Linked DNA regions of Drosophila melanogaster. The protein of the gene in region 2 interacts with the protein of the main gene of each other region in a pairwise test. Each region holds a gene or a part of one and is shown on either strand. Other genes may lie near its edges.

Region 1 (6,457 bases), on a different chromosome or scaffold from region 2:
ATTTCTCCCTTCCATCTAAGGTTCTTTCTGAAGCGTATCGAGTGCTGCAGCCGGGCGGACGATTCATGTGCCTGGAGTTCAGTCATCTGACGAACGAAACGATGCAATGGCTATATGACCAGTACTCCTTCCAGGTGATTCCGCCCATGGGCCAATTGCTGGCTGGTCAGTGGCAGGCGTACCAGTATCTCGTTGAGAGCATCCGACGGTTTCCCAAGCAGGAGCAATTCAAGCAAATGATCGAGCAGGCCGGATTCGATCAGGTGTCCTACGAGAACCTAACCTTCGGCGTGGTCAGCATTCACTCCGGCTTCAAACTGTGACAGCCGAGGATGATATTTGTTGTAAGCGATTAGGAAATCCTAAGACCATTTGATGGGGCTTAACTATAATCTATATTGTTGGTTTTTTGCGTTTTTTCATGCTGCTCACGTCGGGCAGGTCATAAAGCATCGAATTAAACAAGCTCCTCTGGCGGCTTTTATTTCTGTATGTTTACATTTTGAGGTTTATGTAGCTCTTTGTCAAATATATGTACTTCATGTGCCAAAAGGCAAACCCAAACGGCAAACTGATGACATCTCCGGCGGCAAGGCCTGGGAAAGACCTTGAGGATTGTGTGCCAGACCCACTTAGATGCAAAGGGCGATATGGTGGTAGCCCAATAACCGAACTGTACCAGATGCCAGGTGTAAGGCACTGTAATCGATTTAAATTCCACACACCCAACGGGTCGTTTCCAAAAAAAAGTGAAAATCTCCATGTAGGCTAATCGAAAGTCCATTTACGGCGATGGGATGTGATATAATGCAGAAACTATCCACTTATCTATTGACTTCAGTTCGCCATCAGATGTAGTGCAGGTGAAATTTATGCGTGTGAATGTTGAATTTTAACGAAATTCAAATAATAGCATTGAAATGCCATCAAAATAATTGACCGTGCCATGCTTAATAGGTAATTGCTAATTGGTGCTTTGCAATTGTGCGCTTTTGCTTTTATTACAATGGCTTTATTATGCTTTCACCCGGCGACTGATTAACACGGATTGGACACCCGAATAGCCGCCCATATTATTGGCCGGATTATGTAAGCGGAGACACATTTGATTTGTATCTAAATTGCAGCCAAATCATAAACCTTCGGACCTTCCATCTCCGGCAATCGAAAGTGAAAAGAGTCCGGCGATAAAAAACAAAAAAAACTGAGCACAAAAAGCATGCGGAACATGCAGGCCATTGAAAGCAAAAGTTTGGTGCGTGCGGCAACGTGCTGCGCATGCGTAGGTGGATTCCGGCCAATGGGACAGTGGAGCGGGGCCAGGCAATCAGTGGGACTAGTGGGCAAAGTTGTTGGCAAACTATATAGAGTTTTAGCCTTTTAGATTTTTATGATAATAATCTCGATATCTGAATAAGAAGTAAACTTAGATATGAAGTGTAGTAGGAATATTCCATACTTGAGGAATATACATACCATATATATGCGCACAATCTACGGTACCACAGTGCGTGGTCAGGTGGCGCAGCATAATGAGGCGCTGCTCAGTGGTCAGTGGTCAGTGGGTGAGGGGTCTTCGATTGCGGCAGGTGAAATGGCAGCGTAAAAGTCATAAACTGCCCAATCCATGCCGTATGCCATGCCGATGAGCCGCTGACGGTGGTGCATTGCTAGCACCACCAGTGCCACCGATTGGTATGCACAGTGGGTATGTGCCACTCCACTGTGCCGCGATGTCCGCTTTATAAATACAACAGCGACCAAGGAAGTTCATTTCATTTTCTTGTCGGCGATCGCAGCAAACGGATTAAACGCGAGGCGAGGCGATATATTACATAGTGTCCAAATATACGCATATAGAAATCAAGTCCACTGAATCGAAATGAATCTCTTGGCCAGTTCGAGGAGCCTCCATCTTCTGATGGTCTTGGCTGTCATCTTGGTTTCTCATCGAGCTGAGGCGGGCTTACGTTTGCGTCACACCAGTCGATCGGTCACGCCCCCCGCCAGCACAACGCCCACTTTGACAGTGACCTCCGAGGATGCCCCGCTACAAGAGGAATCGGTGGCGGAGAGTGCCCCAACGGCCAGTGTGGTTACCGAACCGGAAACGGAAGTGGAGGTCACGACCGGAAAGCACAAGCGTGGCATTCTACACGGCCACGCCCACCTGCACGGCCAATGGCCCGCCCGCACCTATGCCGCCCACTACGGCTATAGCCTGCAGCTGCCAGGAGGCAGTGCCTTCCTGGCCGCCGCTCCTCCGCGCCGCCACTTCGTCAAATACGGCCATGGTCTGGTCAAGCCGCTCGTTTCCGGTTCCGGTTTGCTGCCCGCCTTAGCTCCCGCACCCGCTGCCCTGCTGCCCGCCGTCGCCTCAGCCCTGCCCGTTGGATTGCCCACCGGTCTGCCCGGTGGCGTGGCCAGTGCCATTCCCGCCGGAGTCGCTACTGCCTTGTCCACCGGCGTGGCCACCGCTTTGTCCACCGCCGTGGCTCCGCCCTCGTACGTCCTGCGTCCCGGAAATGCGGTCGTCTCCTCGTACAGCGTCAACTATCCGCACCAGCACCTGCAGAAGCCCGTGGTCTTTCAGTCCGCCGTAAAGCCTGTCCACTTCCATGCTCCGGCTCATGGCCATGTGCATGCCGTGCAGGTGAGTTAGCTACATAGGAAACTTGTGGAATATCCCGTTGACCATTTCATTCTTTTCTGTTGCAGCCCACTTATGTGCAGACCTATGCTCCGACTGCTCCGGCAGTGCCTGTTCAGCCCGTGCAGCCAGTGCAGCCAGTTCATCATCTCCAGCCCATTCAGCCCCTTCAACCGGTGCAACCGGTGACCACCCATCTGCAGCCAGTTAGCCCAATCCAACCGGTTCAGCCCCTTCAACCGGTTCAACCCATCCAACCTACAGTGACCTTCGGTGTTCCGTCTCCCCCAGCTGTGGATTTGCCGGTGATCCCTCAGTTCCCACAACCGCCTCAGTTCCCCGGTGTGCCGACCTTTAGCTTCCAGCCCGCTCAGCCAGCGGTGCCAGCCCAACCCGCTGTGCCCGCCCAGCCGGCAGTTCCAGCTGCACCAGAAGCCCCAGAAGTGCCACAGGTTCCCGCCATTCCACAGATTCCGGCCATACCGCAGATACCCCAAATACCACAATTTCCCGGATTCCCTCAATTTCCCGGCTTTCCCCAGATTCCCCAGTTCCCCCAGGCGCCAGCCATTCCATCACCTCCCTCCGTTCCAGGAGTTCCAGCTGTACCCACGGTCCCGGCCTTCCCCAGTCCACCAACTAGCCAATTCTTTCCGGCTGCTCCACAGCCACCATTGCCGCAGCAGCCACCCACTTTTGGCCAACCAGAGTCGCAATTCCCCGGCGGAATTGTACCGCTGCCGGGCTCCACTCCCGTCCGCCCTGAATCCGGCACGGGTATAGCCTCGCCGCAGATTCCCCCACAATCACCCGAGCCGGAGACGCCGTCGGAGGTGCCACCACAGCGGCCATCCGTCCAGCAGCCCTGGAAGCCGGTATTCTATAGTCCACCCACCGAATCCGCGCCAGCGTCGCCGAATCGACCCTCGATCACCCTGCTCCCGCCATACGGAAGTGCGCCAGCTGAAGGTGAGCTCAGATGACGTTATGGATATATATTATTATGCTATATTTCAAACGAATATTTTCCAGGTTACCTGCCACCCGTGGGATCCCAACCGTCGGCCCTGAGTGCCAGTAGTGCCGGAATCGGTGGTCAGGGCGGCATCTTTGACCAGCTGACCGATGCCGAGCTGGAGCACATTTTCGCCCAGGCCAACTTGGCGCAGCAGCAGCACCAGCAGCAGCAGCAGCAGCAGCAACAGCAGCAACAGGGCCACAACTACCACCACTACTGAGTCCACCACTCACTCCACCTAGGGATCTTTTCAAATTTTTTTTTGTTTTTTTTTTTTAAGCCTTCGTTCATTTGTGCTCTACTTGTATTGTAAATTATGTTGCTATTAAATAAGTTATTTATCGAAAAATTGAACAGATCGTTTATTTATTGCGTAATAATAATAAATATAATAAATAATTTAAATAACTAATTCTATTGCAAAGTATATGCGAGATATAGACATAATATCTTAGTTTATTTCCTTTTGGCACATACATATTATCTATTTGAATTTCATTAGGAAATTCCCTTTGGCTCGGCGCATTTTCATTTCCTGAGCTTTTCCGGCGCGCGCTTTTCCCCCAAAGGGCTTTTCACCTTGAACTTGGCGTTCGTTGGTTTCTTTGGAGCTTTTCCCGTTCAGCTTTTCATTCATAAATTGCCAGCCGGCGCGCTGAATGAGTGCGTTGTGTGCTTGGTTGGGTGAAAAGTGGGCGGTTGGGCGGTCGGCTGGGCGGCGCCAGTGGGCGGGGCACCTGGAAAGGCCGCATGCCACATGTTGCAGGCATTCGCTCGCCTTTTTTTCAGCTCAGTTGTTTGTTATCGTTGGCGGCGAACGCGCGTCTGCTGCGGACCAAAAATCGACTATATTCCGACTATATACCGCGCATATATATTTTTGGATCCACCGATCCGCGATCTTACACATTGAAGTGCGGCGAAGTTTTATTTTGATTTTGATTCTTTTTGGTTTTTTTTTGTTTTTTTTTTGTGCTGTGCCCATCAGAGTCTATAATTAAATATTGTTTATTGCCCGTTGAGACGGTGGAAGAAAAAAAAAGCGAAGAACTCCCTGGATGTCAATAGCGATCATGCGTACGTCCCGGAATAATAAACAATACCCCTTTTTTTGTTTGTGTGTATATTTATCGGTGCAGTTATAGAGAGATGCCAGATATCCCCCGATTCCAATGTGTATAGGTTTTTATCTACTTTATTCGCAATGTTTGTGTGGCATTTTAACGCGAATCGAAATAATAAACCCGGCCAAGATATTGACCATCTGCGGATGTGAAAGTGCCTGGGATTTTCGATGGTTGTGTGAATGTTATCCATGCGATAATTGAGGGTTTATAATTTAAGTGTGCTACCTTTAGGAAATTCATATGAAATATACATATATGTATATATAGGAGGGTATTTCAAGTTTGGATTCAAATTGAAATTAAAGCTAAGACAACATAAAGAATACAAAAAAAAAAAAAAATCATTGAGAAAAATGGCATGAAATCGAATACAGGCTTGAACATTTTTTAAATGGATAGTGATGGCAAAAAGTATACAAGCCAAAACTTTCGAAAATGAAATAATTTTACAAAGAAATTCCAAAAGTTATATGCACGAAAAGGTGCAAAAGTGATGAAAGTTCTGGATGTTTGACAAAGTTCAAAGGGCACCAAGAAGTTTTTCGAATAAAGTTTGAGCTCGAGAAAACATAAATGTCCGCGAATAAAAAGTGCATTAGATACAAAAGTTTTTCTTTTTTTTGCCGGTGCGTTGCTCAATTTTTTTTTTATGTTTAAAGTTATATAATAAGAGTACTGAAAGAGTTTGCAAATAAATAAATGAAACTATTTAAGGCATACAAAGAAATGCTACGAATTTTTGGAATATACATATAGAAATGATGCAGGTTTTCTTAGGTGTAAAAATGTAAAATCATTATGCCAAAACATTTTACACAATCCAATCAAAATGTTGATGATTGACAGGAATTCGCGTTGGGCGGTTCGAAAAATGCACCGAATTTGTATTTGTATCGAAACGATTTTCAATTAAAATTCTGTTCCAATTTGCATATTAATTTATGTTATTAAAATGGAGCTGACGCCTCAATGTCTGGTATTTTGCGCCATCTCTGTCGCTCCCAGTGCCGGCAATGTCTATTTCTATCTCTGTCGATCGATGGGTCTGTGTAAAAATTTTGTAATAAAATGTCATTAAGTGTAAGTGCGTGGTGCCGTTTAGATTTATGTGCCCGAATGAATTGCAAATGCCTAGGCGAGAAGGATATGTTCGGTTTGGAAAAGTTGAAAGGGTGGTCTGCACTGGTCCAGGGTGGACTAGGGTGGCCCAGAATGGGAGCCCACCGGTCTCCTTGTGGTTCCGGTGGCCAGAAAACTGGGCGCTGACCTGACAACGCTTGGTGCCCCAAAGTTGTGTTATTAGTTGTAACTGCGTTGGCAGCTTAGACAAATCCGTTCATCCCCACTATATAGCACAAATATATACATACATATATTATATATAGACATATATATATATATATATATATATATAGCTAGCGCCCTGGCTACGGGGATTATTTGTCTAGTCCCACCCCACAAACCACATCTTTTAATGAGCCACCGAAAACCAAGTGGAATGTGTCAATTAAGTGGGGGTAGTCTCCCTTCAACATCCCCCCCCTTCAAATTCTATTAAATTCACCAAAACTATTTGCGTAAGCTGCTTGGGGTAATTATTAGTTTTTTTTTTCTTTCTGTATTTATTATAAGCTTAGTCGCGGGATTGTTTAATGATGGCAT
Region 2 (8,736 bases):
CACCACTACCATAACCACCTCCCTAGCCACAGTCGACTCAGGCAGAGGCAATCGTCAGCCGTGTTACTACTCGTAGTGAAGCCAAAACCCTCAACTGTGCATGCCAGGGTGGTTCGATTTGTTCAGCAGTAAATGCAACTTGTTCACCTCTGTACACGTAATAATCCATTTTGACCCTTGCCAGGTATGAAAACTACAAATATTAAAGCCTTCTTACATACTTCAATGGCTTGCATTCATGAATTCCCGGGTCCTGCGAATTGTTTAGACACCTTTGCTTTTAAAGGTAATTTTAAGATGTTTCCCTTCATTGCAAATCGAACCACCCTCCAAGCAAATACATATTTTTGTATAAATCTTAAGACCTACCATAAGAGTAACAATTTCGTGTTTCCTGATATTATTGAGTAAATGATGTCTCGCGCTTACGAGACAATCTCCCAATCTTTTGTAGCTTTTTTGCCGGTAATCTCCCATTTGCCCCGCCTGAGCCAAGAATTTATAATACACTGTGAGTAGGATGTATATCTTTGTGTATGATATAATCAAGTTAATTAGTTTGTAAATAAATCTCATTTAGTTTCCTTTTGCGTTCAAATACAAATTTACTACGGCTTCGTATTGCGAACGAATATATATAATAAACACTTAGTTGGATTGATAAAGAAGTTTTCGTCTTTAGGCAGACTTGTAAGATATAAGCGGGCATCTATTTATCAAAATAAAAAGAACTTAACAGGATTCAGTTCGTAGATCTTAACGTACAATAAGCAAAATTTCCGATCTATCTTACGAATCTGGGCTACTCATTGCCTTCCTTAAGCGTAGGGTAAGCGTACGGGTTCGTAACTTAGTGTTACCAAAAACAAAGTGGGAAAGTCAGCGTATTTATACTCAATCTTATGTCTTTTTACCGCCCCGCTTGGCAGCAGGCTTCTTGGCCTTCTTGGGAGTCGGTTCCTGAGCAGACTCCTCTTCGACCTCCTCGGCGGCATCATCCTGCGGCGGCGTCTTAATCTTTTTGCTGCTGGTTGACGCCTTCGCCGGCAAGTTTTCCTTCTGCTCCTGCTTATCTACATTCTCGGCTTCCTTGTCGGCATTATCCTGCGGCGGCGTCTTGTTCTTTTTGCTGCTGGTTGACGCCTTCGCCGGCAAGTTTTCCTTCTGCTCCTGCTTATCTACATTCTCGGCTTCCTTGTCGACATTATCCTGCGGCGGGGTCTTGTCCTTTTTACTGATGCTGCTGCTGCCAGACACCTTCACTGGAACATTCTCCTTCTGGTCCTGTTTGTCCGCTTTGACCAAAAAGATTGCGTGCTGACCACCGCCAGATGCGAGCAGCATGTGCTTCCCCTGCGTGTTCTTGCTGACAACCACGATCGGTTCGAGCTCATCATCGCCGTCGCCAACGCCTAGTTGATTGTTGACACCGGAGCCCCAGGAATACAGTTTGCCATCAATTGTAACGGCATAGGAACAGACTTCGCCACATCCAACGGACACAATCTTTTCGGTCAGCTTCTTTACAATCGTTGGCTTCTCCACAACATCCTTGACATCGCCCAGACCAAGCCGACCGTACTCCGGACGACCCACTACGGAACACTTAAGGTCCGTTGTCAGGATGACAGTATGGTGCTGACCGCCGGCAATATGTCGGATATCTTTGAGTTCCGTCTTGATGGGCGTCAGTGCGAACTCCTTGCCCTTTGTCTCGTGGGCCAGCTGCTTGAAGTTGTTAAGCCCTGTGGCCCAGATGACCTGTGTCTGTGACTCGCGCATGAATGTGCAGTAGTTGGTGGCCCAGATGGCCTCAAAAGGTTTGGCCCGCGTGATGATGAGCTGGGTGGGCCGCAGCAAGTCGCGTTTGCCACGACGACCTGGGGGTTAACATTTTTTTAATACGAATTTCGTTGAAAATTTGAATGCCAAGACTTACCCTCTCCGGAGATGGAACGCTCCGACAGCCGGCCGAGTTGTCCCTGCTCAGCGCAGCCCACGGTAAAGACCTTTCCGGCAGTGGTCAGGATGACCAAATGATCGGCGCCGGACGCGATGCTACAACAGACAGTGCCCTCCATCAGATCGATGGGCGTACGCTTGTTACCATCGATGGTGAGGCCCATGTTGCCATGAGAGTCCCGGAACGAGCCCCAAGCGAAGACACGGCCATCCTCCAGCAGACAAGCGGAATGCGAGTCTCCCGCCGAAATGCACAGAGCCTTGCCGGGCAAATCGATAAGATCCGGCTTTGACTCGCTGCCATCCTCGCTGGTGTCACGGCCTAGAGCACCTTCGTCATTGCAACCGAATGAGTAAATGTCCCCTGACTTGGTCAGCACCAGGTTGTGCATGCCACCGGCGGATATGTCCACGGCATCCGGGATGCCCGCCACAGGGCTGAGACGCTTGCGCTCCAGTATGTCCTCGCCGAGACCAAGTTGGCCCACATCGCCGTTGCCGCAGACTAGCACGTTGCCGAGCACGGTCCTCCGCTTGGGCAGCTCCAGATGAAAAGCGATTCTGGCGCGCTTCGCCTTCGGTGGCTGCTGCTCCGCTTCGCCGGCATTGTTGTTATTAGTCAGGGCCTTTCTGCGCGGCATTTTAGCTTGTATTTTCACAATTTTTTGTCACCGAAACTGGAAATAGTGCGTTTGTGTGTGTGTGTAAGAAATATATATAAGGTTAGGGACGCCGGTGATGCAGCTTAGTTCTGCTCACACTCACAATGGAAATAATGCCGGTCTCTGGTTCAGCGGGAGTTCCACGTTGTCTAGATGGTGTTGCTACGGCGGTTTGGAGGCGAGTGAAAACACCAAATGCAAGCGAATCCCAATGCGACCTACCTGGGTCGAAGAAAATGCGCGGGAAGCGGCGGCAGCTGGCCTTCAGGGTACAGTGTTGCGGGCTTGGCGAATTCCCCGCCGCATCTGGCTATTAGCGAGGTCACACTCCAATTTCAGGGTCGCTTCTGCGCCTATTGACCAATTGTTAGTACATCTTTGTTATCTTTGCACTGTTCCTAATTGCAAATAATAAAACAAAGCCTGCTATAACCCACAGTTTATTTATTTCGAGATATTGATAACTTTTAGAATGGAGCGTAGCGTGAACTCAAACTATGACAGTTGGTTAACAGTTCTCTAGCGAGTTTGCGAGCCGATTGCCGACCGATTCTATCGAAAGAGCTATCGATAATGTGCGGGAAATTTAAACTTTCCTTACCCACTCACATTATTTCAAAACAAATTTGTTGTTAAATATTATAAAATGTTCTACCTTTAAGCCAATGCTTCATTTTCAACGTGATTGTATGTATATTGCATGCTATAGATCAGAAAATAAACAATACTATTTGAAAAGGTTTTCCATTAACTTTATTACAAAATACATAGAGTTACAATATAATTGGTTATTCATTTACTTCCCATATAAGTCTATCTAGCCACTGCACCGCAAAGTGAGTGCATCAAATACAAAAAGAATCCACTTTGCCCATTCCGCATCCGCACTCCAAATCCCGGCAGCCGACCCTCGATTTCCCTACCCAAACATTAACATTTAATCCGACTGCCCCCATTCAGATATGTATAGTACGTCTGTCTGATGCATCTGCCACTCAGCACTAGCCGTACAAAACGAGCAGAATTGATAAAAACGCGAAAAATAATAATCACTTGATGTCTGTTTGCGTATACATATTGCATGTTTTTGCCATTTTTTAATCAGTTTCGCAAAAATGATTTGAGCGTATTCCCTATATTTGTGTATGCAAACACGCCCCTGCGAAACCACAGCCATCGCAGCCGCCCACGTAGCTGATTTTATTATCAATTTTAATAAAAAATGTTTGTGCACTTTTTGCAGCACCTGTCGGACAGGTGGGCCTTTGCCGGCCCGAGTACACATGGACATGGACCCTATTTATTGGTAGCCACGTCAACCGTCGTCAGCACAGCCAATTACGCAAATTAAACAGATTGTTATCCTGTCGCGACAGAGGACACAGGACGCAGGACAATGTGACAAGCTGGGCAGCTTAATTCAATCAACGTGACATAATTACTTAATTAATTAAGAGCGCCCAGCGGTCACACATTCAAATCGGCCATCATTTTGCGAAAGTCGTTCAGCGAGCCATACATCTCGAAGTCCGCTCCCCCGTTTCCGGTTCCGCCTGCGTAGGCGCCCTGCGATCGTTGCGATCGGGTACTAGGTGGGCGTGGCAGGGTCAGCGGCACGGGCAACAGTTCCGGCATCACCGAGTGGTGCGTGATCAGCGCCTTCAGCGAACTGAACTCCTTGGTGAAGCCCTAAAATGGTAAATACCATCATAATATATAATAAATATTATATATAATGTGCTCGGACTTACCTTTATCTTGTAGCCCCTTTGCGTCCGCAGGATCAGATAGTGGGCCACTCGTGGTGAAGGTGGTGGCACTCGCAGCGAGAGGGCGAAACATCCCGGCTTTGTGCTGCTCTGGCGCACTAGAAACGCACCTGGACTCTGTCGGGACAGGGCCTCCAGGGATATTTCCCTGGGAATGCCCGCTTGAAACCAGGCGGCTCCCTTAAGCTCCTGCTGCTCGGCTAGGCTGAGATTATCCAGGCGCAGGGCACTGTGGCCGGGAAACAATTTCGGACTGGAGTTGGCTGATAATTACACGGAAGTAAGGTAACCTTAGCCAACCATTTCATATCTGTGACATAAGAGTCTACCTACCGCTGCACGTCTCTCTCAGATACTTTTTGCTGGCGGCGGGCAGCTCCACCTGCAGCCGCTGGGTGGCACTCTCCAGTGCGGACAGTGACTGGCGGCAGGAGTCGCCGAACTTGCTGGCCACGTACTTGTCCGGCTCGCAGATGGCCTCGTTCACATAGCCATCGGAGATGGTCTGAGTGGATCCACAGCCGGATCCGGAGGTCAGCGAGGAGCCGCAGGTGCTGTGCATCAGGGGGCGGCTGTCCTCGGTTCCCCGCAGCAGTCCAATGCCCATGGTCAGGCGTTTCACCTGTGAAGGGATAGGAGTGCACAGAAAGTAATTATAAGTATTAATACATTCCCATTATTACATTCCCATTGTTTAGTATGCAGTTATTTTTGAATTGTTATGCAACTTAAGTAAAGTGTGATGTAATATTAATAACATTTACTACTTTTTGTTTTCAGTGCATCCATTGCTAGTGGTACGATTTGCATGTTGCATGTTGTCTGCCAATTTGGCAAAGTTTTTGCATTGCTATAATGGCGATTTCGGGACAACTCTCGCCTGACCGTCAGTATCGGTGCAGGTGTGTATTCATTCAGGGATTTGTGGCGCCACCCCCCACAGCTTAACCCCTGCTCCGGCTTCCGCCCGGAAAATCCAACAAACATCAAACACACTTTAGCTCTCACGGCCAGAACCACAACAACGTCGTGCCACACACTTCCAATTCCCCCCCCCCCCCCACCACACCACACAGAAAACAACCGAGATTGATGTGTAAAATTTTTGGTTACCAATAAAATGTTAAACAGCGCTTGCCACGCCCCCTTGGCCACAGTACGCCCACTATGGCAACCACTGGCTTTTGCGGCAAATTACTTTGAAATGAGTTCGAGCCCCGAACGAAAAGTTTGTGCTACTGCCTTTGGGTTTTCATTTTGCAGCTTTTAAATCGTTTCCCATTGCGTTGCGTAATTAGCAGTCTAAGCGTAAATTGGACTTGCTTATTTTGGTCTTAACTTGCGATAATTATGTTGATTTTATGGAGATGAGTGCCGATTTACTTGGCCAGTATGCGGCCAGTTAAATTGAGGATTTTCGCTCGATTCAGGCTCGTTGCTTCAATTGCAGCTAATTAAATTGGCGCATCGACGGCACTTGGCACTGTCGTTAAGTATGCAATCAGAGCATCGTGCCAACCTAATGCCCCCATTATGCTAATGGCAATCGGAAGGGAACAGCAGCGCATTATGCAATGCAAAACGCGAAGGACTCGAGCTCCAGAAGTGCCACAGCAAAATCCCGAACGTAAAGAATGCAGATGGGGCGGAGGCGGGCTGGACTTTTCCAAGGTATTTTCCCAGACAATGGCACAATAGACGTGTCTAAGCAGCATTCGCAGCAGCGATGCTCCCATCTGCCATTTGATTTTCTTGCATTTTCTCCTTGCCTTGTTATCTGTTCGAAACTTTTGCACGTTGCCTACTTTCAGGCGGCGCCAGAGAAAAGTTGCTCCATTGTCCTGTTGGCAAGGATTCCTTTCCACGTCCTTTCCCTAGGCCTAAAAACACGTGGCTGTCGGTTGCATTTGGCGCTGTTGCTGCGATTTATGTGTCATAAAGTCAGTAAGTTAACGCCATTTGCCTGCCATTTGCCATGGCATCCTGCATTGTTCACCAGGACTCGTGTTATCCAACTTCAAACTGCACTACGGCAAAATGGGAAGCATTCAACGCCCTGCCATGAAATGGTTTAAGTAGAAAGTTATGAATGAATGGTAACGGGGTTTCGGTCCAAGTTGTTGCCGACAAAAGAAAGCAATTAGTTAGCTAACTATGCTCGCTTTAGGATTATGGACGGCAATTGAGTTACTGCTCATTTAATTGGCATTTAAAAGTGCTAAGTATGCCCTACTCAACTAAATTTAAATTGACAGTAAAATGCAGTTTAATTGCAAATACTTTAAACTTTAGTTAAACACATTTAGGACTGCTCTTTACAAGTGAATTATGCTCGCATGTCAAGTGACAAATTTCTTGCGAAATTTAATATCTGAAATATACTATATAAATTTGCTAAAATCCATGAAAATCTTTTAAAAAATGCTAGTAATGTTTTACATTCAAATATTTCTGGATTTTCTTTTTGGGTAATATTAAATTATTTCTCTCAGTGTCCTCCCATTTGTTCTGCATTTTCGTCGTGTGCAGCTAGTGCACCTTTGTTAGTGGCGCGTGCCAAAGTGGCGTTACTCGAAAATTTGCATTTGTGCAAATTAATTTAATGAACTCCTTTTCGGCTGCAGTTTTGGTGGCAAAAACAATTTCCACCTGAAGTGCCTACTCCTGTCGCTTTCGAGTTCGATTCAAGCAGCGCAATTTCACACAAGTGATTTAAGGTTTATGCAATTAAAACAACTAAATAGAGAATTTAAGCTAGGCAACATGAATTGAACGAATTTTCCCTCATTTTCCTCGCTTTTTGCATTTCGTAAATGCTGTCTCGATCTGAAGTTTTCCTTTTCCGCCGCTACCTGGCATTTCTTTCACTAAGTGCATCCCCAGCCGATGCTCCTCCAATAGGTAATTCCTTTCAAATTCCCCCACCAGCTCTTGTTTCCTGGCAAATCATCAGCGTAAGCAGATTTATGCTCTGTGCAAAGTAATTTGCGAGCAATGAGAAATGGCCAACAAAGGAGCCTGGCAACAAAGCAAAACAAAAAAAAAAATGATTGCTCCCTCGACTGGCATCGCAAAATCCGTCTCTGTTTTCAATACATTGGCTAATAGTTAATATTAACTAGCGGAATCGGCAAAAAATGAGAATAAGTTATGTATTGAAAAAAATCAGTGGGCATACATTATGACCTGCCATTCAGAGTTATTATTTCCTTTTGCATAATATATATAGAAGTGTTACCCTACAATATAAAGGGCTTTCTTATATTTTTCCGACAGCTTTTTAAAATATGACTACCATTTCTTACAGTGAACCCTCGCAGAACTTACCAGCGGCGGCTTATCCACCAAACGACGGCAATTATTCATTTCTGTGGGCGAATTATCCTCCTCGGAGCTGGGCGAGCGCAGATGGTGCGGATGCGGATGCGAGCCGGGTTGCGGATGTGGATGCTCCTGTCCGGACAGCTCCTGGACATCGTGGTGGCTATGCAGCAGATGCAGCTGCTCCACCGGGCGGCGCTGGAGTTGCGGATGCGGATGCGGATGCGAGTGGCTATGCGGATGCGGCTGCTGGCGGGGCGGATGCGGATGAGCCGGCGGATGATGATGATGGAAGAAATGCTGCGGCGATGTCGTTGTCACTGTTCCAGCAGCTGCTTCACTGCGGTTAACAAATGAGCGAGAGGATTAAGGACGAGGTATACTTTGCGTTAAAGATTAAGGGAGTTACTTCTGCCCTTCCCTTCCCTACACTCACCTGGCTGGCGACTTCTCAGCTGTCTCAATCAGCGTGGTCTCAGCTGTTTGGGATGAGGACGATGAGGCCGAGGAGGAGGATATGAATGTGGCTTTACTGTGCTGTGGTTCCAGGCGTAGGCGTATATCCTGCATGATCATTGGTACTTCATATATCTTGCCTCAAACATTCAAAGCATCTGTTCAAAAACGTGTAGAAAAATAGTTTATGCATATAACACTTAAGTTTGCACATATTTTAGATTCATTTCAAGCCACCTAATTATTAAGTTATTTTCCAAGACGAGACTATATTCCTATTTTTCCCGCAAGGGGGAAGAAAATGTAAGGAGCTTGTTAAAACTCTTGGCAACCCCTTTCGAAAAAGAAAGCCACAAAACTTTTTGCCACCACTAAGGGGCAGAAGTTCGGTCACTTCTGGACCCTATGCTAATGGCATCGTTGATGATTTCTTGACTTATTCTTGCAGTGCAAAATTTTCCGCCTTCAGCCAGAAGTTTTGCCCCTCTTTAAGTTGCTGCCAGTTTGGAAAAGGCTTTAAGCCTTTCTGACTGCAAACTTTGTGCCCACAACTGGCTGCTTATTGA
Region 3 (5,482 bases), on a different chromosome or scaffold from region 2:
ACACTTGTCTCATTTGTCATTCTACCAAAACCAAAATATGCAAATATGGGTATTAATCACAAACAGACAAGCAAAGTTTATGGACACATCTTGCACAAGATCTGAAATCAATCATCATAGTACACTAAGGGAATTAATGCACAGAATTATAAGCTATAAAATGTATTATTTTCTCCATAACCATTTGATTTGAAAGTACTGTAGTCCAGTGTCGTCTCACCTTAAAAATCATCTGCTAATATTGCCTAATCATTGTCTACTAACTATTTATAGACTTCCTTGCGAATAAATTAGAAAAAATCATGACTTGCGAGCAACCATAAGAATTAACATTTTCACTTTTCGCTGCAGGGGCACTGTGCTACAGGAGTACGGAACGTTTTGGAGCGACATTGTGAACAAAGTGCAGGCGGAGCGGCCATAACTGAAATTATGTACTTACTTTTAAGGCAGCCGGGCAATAAATCTTAAAAACCCTAATTAGTCAAAACGAAATTGTTGTTTGAGGATTTTTTTTCGACTGCCATTCACCATTCCGACGTCTTGGACGTCGGACGCCAAAGGCGCCCCATTGAGCTGTGCAATCAACATTACAGGGCAAAATTATTGGCTTTTTGGCTCAGCGCTTATGAATGACCAGCCCACATCCCAGCGCCCAACGAGGCGAACCAGTTCCCGTCGCCCACCACAGACAGCACCTTGCCACCCACATCCGCCCACATCCTCCCACCCACTCCACTCCAAGTCCGAAATGGAACGCACGAGCCGAGCACGTTTGGGTTTCCAGACACGTTGGCCAGCTTCTCATAGGAAATTCGTTTTGGGCGCCCCGGCAAATTGGAAACTCTAAGCACCTTTCAGGCTGGCTGTGCTATAAAGTAATTAGACGGCCAACGAATTTGACCAAGACATAGGCCAAGATAAGTATTCGTAGCATAGGTCTAAAGCACTTCTGATTGATTGCCCTTACAACAATAGGAAGCGGATAAGGATAAGGAATCGGTTTGCAGATATGACCAGGCGTGCAAAAGAGTTCGCGGAATTGCTAATCGGCAGACGGTTTGTTTTGCTTGAAATTTACTACCAATTATGGTAGCCAACTTACTTAAGCCTTAGTTAAATATATAATGCCTAATATTGGTTATACTCTACAGATAATTCAATAAAAAGCTATGAAATCATAAACTCACTGTCGCATGCATCGAAGCTCCACTGTACATTGCACTTACACATTTCGCTTGCAGCTTGTTTACTCGCCTGCGAACTCAGTCGCTCGCTTGTTATTGTCATTCCAGCGAAAAGTGCATGGCAACCCACGCTGGCTTGGGGGCGGGGCACACACACGATGAAGTGGGGGGGTTACTGGGAAGCACTTTGTTTTCGTGCGTTGCACATATGTACATATGTATGTATGTACGTACATATGTAATTATATACGTTAGCCGACTTGTTTTGATCGAATTCGCCGTACCGCCGCCTGCCTTTGTCTGGCTTTATGGACTCCACAGGAGCGCAGCCCAAAATGGGGGGCTTGGAGTCGAACACCCTCCCGGTGGAGAATCCGTCCCTGGAGCAACCGAGTTCGTTGTCCAGTCGGGCGAATTTGAGTCTGGTTTTCCGCACGCGTTTTGTTTACTGTCCGGTGACTTGTTGCTGTTCTCTGTGCCCGCCTTCGTCTCGTTTATCAGCGATTGCGAATACTCGCACGGACTGCTCAACACTTTAGTCAATATTTAGCCGCTTCCCGGAGAGGTTCATAGATCGCAGACGCACTACATAGTATCAGCATGGTTATCAACTTCGCCGCCGGTCCAGCCAAGTTGCCCGAAGAGGTCGGTGAAATGGGTGGCACCACTCCACACACGTGACGTGTAATAGTAACCTTGATTACATGGTTATCTCTATCTGCATATATAGGTACTGAAAGAGGTGCAGGAAAATCTTGTCAACTGCAATGGCAGCGGCATCTCGGTCATGGAGATGTCCCATCGCTCCAGCAACTATGCCAAGATCCATGATGCGACCATCAGCGATCTTCGCGAACTCCTCAATGTGCCCAGTAACTACAAGATTCTGCTGATGCAGGGCGGTGGCACCGGACAGTTCGCTGCAGTGGCTCTGAACTTGATTGGCAAGACTGGCACTGCTGATTATGTAATCACCGGCTCCTGGTCGGCCAAGGCGGCCAAGGAGGCGGCTCAGTACGGCACTGTGAACGCGGTGCTGCCCAAGTTGGCAAAGTATACAACTGTTCCACGACAGGAGACCTGGAAGCTGGACCCAAATGCCTCATATGTCTACTACTGCGACAATGAGACCGTAGAGGGCGTGGAGTTCGACTTTGTGCCCGAGGTTCCAGCCGGTGTGCCACTGGTGGCCGATATGTCCTCCAATTTTCTGTCGCGTCCCTTCGATGTCTCCAAGTTTGGCGTTATCTATGCGGGAGCCCAGAAGAATATCGGACCAGCGGGCACCACGGTGATCATTGTCAGGGACGATTTGATAGGCAAGCACTTGAAGATTACGCCCTCCATCCTCAACTTTGAGCAGATGGACAAGAACAACTCCCTGTTAAATACTCCGCCGACCTTTGGGTGAGCCCAGAATGATACATGGCTGGTGAATTCTTTGTTAAACTTTCCCCTTGCAGCATCTATGTGATGGGCCTGGTTTTCAAGTGGATCAAGCGGAACGGAGGAGTCGCTGGTATGGCCAAGCTGGCGGCAGCCAAGTCCAAGTTGATTTACGACACGATCAACCAGTCGAATGGTTTCTACTACTGCCCAGTGGATGTCAATGTGCGTTCGCGCATGAATGTGCCCTTCCGTATTGGCAGTGCCAGTGGAGATGATGCCCTGGAGAAGGAGTTCCTGAGCAAAGCCGAGGCCGAGGGCATGATTCAGTTGAAGGGTCATCGGTCGGTGGGCGGCATTCGAGCCTCCCTCTACAATGCTGTAACGCTGGCGGAGACCCAACAGTTGGCCAATCTGATGCTGGCCTTTTACAAGAACAATAAAAATTGAACAGGTTCATCTGTAATTTGTTGGTTTTTGATCGTTTACAAAAGGCCGCGTTGGCGGAAGATCTCGTCCAGCTTGAGCTCCAGGTTGGCGTTGGTTCCTCGCAGATTGTCCACCACCTTTTTGGCCCAAACGAAGTACTGATCACGACGCTCCTGGAATGAAAATATGTGATCCATAAGGTTCCGTTTTTCAAACCAAGATGGGCCCAAATACCTGTGTCCACCCTGTCGGTGTGTTGACTTGCAGATCCCTTAGGTTATCCAATTTGTCAGCCAGCTTTATGAGCTTTGCTCTGCAGCTGCTTTTGGCTGCATTTTCTATTTGCAGGCGTTTTCTCTCCTGTTTCTCCAGGGACTTGTCGTCCGTCACCTCCCTCACTAGTCCACAAACATCCGGTCCAAAGAGTTTCTCAACATCCTCGAAAGATGCGTCCGTATCCTCCACGACATCGTGCAGAAGTGCAGCCATTAGGACTCCCTCATCTGTGATGCAGGCCTCCACGGAGAGAATAGTGCTCACATTGATCACATGGTTCACATAGGGGGTTTCCTGAGGATCCTTGAAATGTAAAAAAGATAGTATTCATGTTTTAAATATATCATTTGTTGCGTTTTAATAAGCTTACCTTGCGACGTTGCTGCCGGTGCTTAAAAGCTGCATATTGGAGGCACTCCATGAATTTGGCAGATGGATATGTGGCCATTGTTGTAAGAAATAATTAAATGAACGGGCCTTTAGTTCAAATTTAAAGTCTAAACCTTATTTTTTGCATTTATTTACATTTTTAACATAACAGCTGACTTAACAGACCGGCAAGAATCTATAACAGAGCAATTGTTGGTGCTTTACAGCGCGGATGGTTAGGCCCTGGAAAACCTATCGATAAATAAAAAGCGCGGCATTCATTTAAATTCAAAAACCTTTATTTAAACAGTTCACCAAACTTAGTCCTTCTTCTCGTTCTGGTTCTCGCACTTGTTGCACTCCTGCTCCTTGGCCTTGCGCGCTGCTTTGGCGGCCTCCTCCGCCTCTCTTTTGGCCTGGGCCTCCAGTTCGGGAATGAAGAAGATCTTGCGAGACTTGAGCGTTGACCACTTAAAACGCTTGATGTAGTAGGAAATGCCAATCAAAAAGGTCGAAATCAGAGTAACTTTGATGAGCAGCAGGCGACGTTCGTCGGTCTCCGGTTCTGAAGTCCACTTGAGGAAGACGCACACATCCTTGGCAATTTGGGCGGCCGAAGCAGGCACATTTGGATCTTCAAAGGAGACCACCTCATTGTCAACTACCTTGCCCATGGCAATCGCTCCGCCCGAGAAGTACGGATTGAAGTACAGTCCATCACGAAGGGCAAAACCAGCCGGAGGATCACAGTATCCGGTGAGCAGGGAGAACACGTAATCCTCGCCGCCCTTGCGAGCCGACACAATATAGCTGAGATCCGGCGGATAGGAGCCATTGTTGGCGGAACGGGCCGCCTCCTCGTTGGCGTACGGAGAGGGGAAGTGATCGGACAGCTTGCCGGGACGCTCGTAGTACTCGCCCTCCTCGTTGGGCCCATCCCGCACCGTGATGGCCTCCGCCTCGGCCTTGGCCTCCGCCTCCGTCATGCACACTCCCACCAGGTTGCGATAGGCCATGTACTGCAATGAGTGGCAGGAGGAGCAGACCTCCTTGTAAACGGTGTAACCTCGACGCACGCTCTCCTTGTCCAAGGCGGACAAAAGCCCTTTGTGATTCCAGTGCTGGTGGGCCGGATGCACGCAGTCCGAGGAGGCATCCACGCTGGTTTCCAGGGCGTAGATCAGCAGCCCTGCTGTTCCGGTTAGGGCTCCCAGGGCTCCCAGCAGCTTGCGATTTCCAGTAAAGCCGCTTCCACGACCCGGAAAACTTATCCGCGGACGCACCGATGTCCGCTGGATGCCGCTCATGGCCAGCTGGAAAAGTTTGCTGTTCAGACTCCTGAATTTGTTGGCCATTTTCGGTCGGATTCAGCTTTATCTCTCAAAACGATTTATTTACAATGTCAACGCAACCAGTGTTGGAAAGCTCTGTCGACTGGGGTTGTCACCACTTGGGGAAATATGTTCTGTCGAAATGAAATCACGTGTGTTGCGGTAAGTTAATATTTTAATTATTATATATTAATTTAAATATAACACCATCACATGCAAAATTACGGATCAAGTGAATGGCTTAAATGCAGTAATAACAATATACATTATCAATTGAAAGATTAACACTTAGGAATCTATCTTTACTGTACTCACCTATGGCAAAATATTAGACTTCCTCCTTTGATGGCAAAAAATCGTCATTGCGAAGAAAATATGTAATTGTTTGGAAATATTGAAATGTGTAAAAGTATAAGCTTTTTCACAACAATTTTTTAATGACATTTCACACAAAGCCGGCAAGAGCAACCTTTACCTACTAATTAAGATACATATCGATCGAAA

Evidence for each region.
Region 1: the proteins of Rcc1 (region 2) and CG12723 interact in a two-hybrid assay, tested with the Drosophila melanogaster proteins (one large-scale study listed by BioGRID).
Region 3: the proteins of Rcc1 (region 2) and CG11899 interact in a two-hybrid assay, tested with the Drosophila melanogaster proteins (one large-scale study listed by BioGRID).

What each region holds. Positions count from the first base shown.
Region 1 is NC_004354.4:13,187,198-13,193,654, reverse strand, and holds CG12723 (uncharacterized protein), read left to right. Parts: upstream 1-1,771; 5' UTR 1,772-1,882; coding exon 1,883-2,653; intron 2,654-2,718; coding exon 2,719-3,619; intron 3,620-3,682; coding exon 3,683-3,888; 3' UTR 3,889-4,012; downstream 4,013-6,457. Other genes in the region: Coq5 (coenzyme Q5), read left to right, coding at 21-323; Lgr4 (Leucine-rich repeat-containing G protein-coupled receptor 4), read left to right, coding at 4,727-4,745.
Region 2 is NT_037436.4:5,929,679-5,938,414, forward strand, and holds Rcc1 (regulator of chromosome condensation 1), read right to left. Parts: upstream 3,096-8,736; 5' UTR 2,728-3,095; intron 2,640-2,727; 5' UTR 2,604-2,639; coding exon 1,940-2,603; intron 1,881-1,939; coding exon 901-1,880; 3' UTR 584-900; downstream 1-583. Other genes in the region: Egfrap (EGFR adaptor protein), read right to left, coding at 4,092-4,313, 4,376-4,656, 4,727-5,015, 7,721-8,054, 8,151-8,290. UniProt on the Drosophila melanogaster protein: Promotes the exchange of Ran-bound GDP by GTP. Involved in the regulation of onset of chromosome condensation in the S phase. Binds to chromatin.
Region 3 is NT_033777.3:29,198,734-29,204,215, forward strand, and holds CG11899 (uncharacterized protein), read left to right. Parts: upstream 1-1,720; 5' UTR 1,721-1,787; coding exon 1,788-1,832; intron 1,833-1,917; coding exon 1,918-2,594; intron 2,595-2,650; coding exon 2,651-3,023; 3' UTR 3,024-3,037; downstream 3,038-5,482. Other genes in the region: CG14515 (uncharacterized protein), read left to right, coding at 352-424; Mesh1 (metazoan SpoT homolog-1), read right to left, coding at 3,059-3,175, 3,237-3,581, 3,649-3,726; Cyt-c1L (cytochrome c1-like), read right to left, coding at 3,968-5,002. UniProt on the Drosophila melanogaster protein: Catalyzes the reversible conversion of 3-phosphohydroxypyruvate to phosphoserine and of 3-hydroxy-2-oxo-4-phosphonooxybutanoate to phosphohydroxythreonine.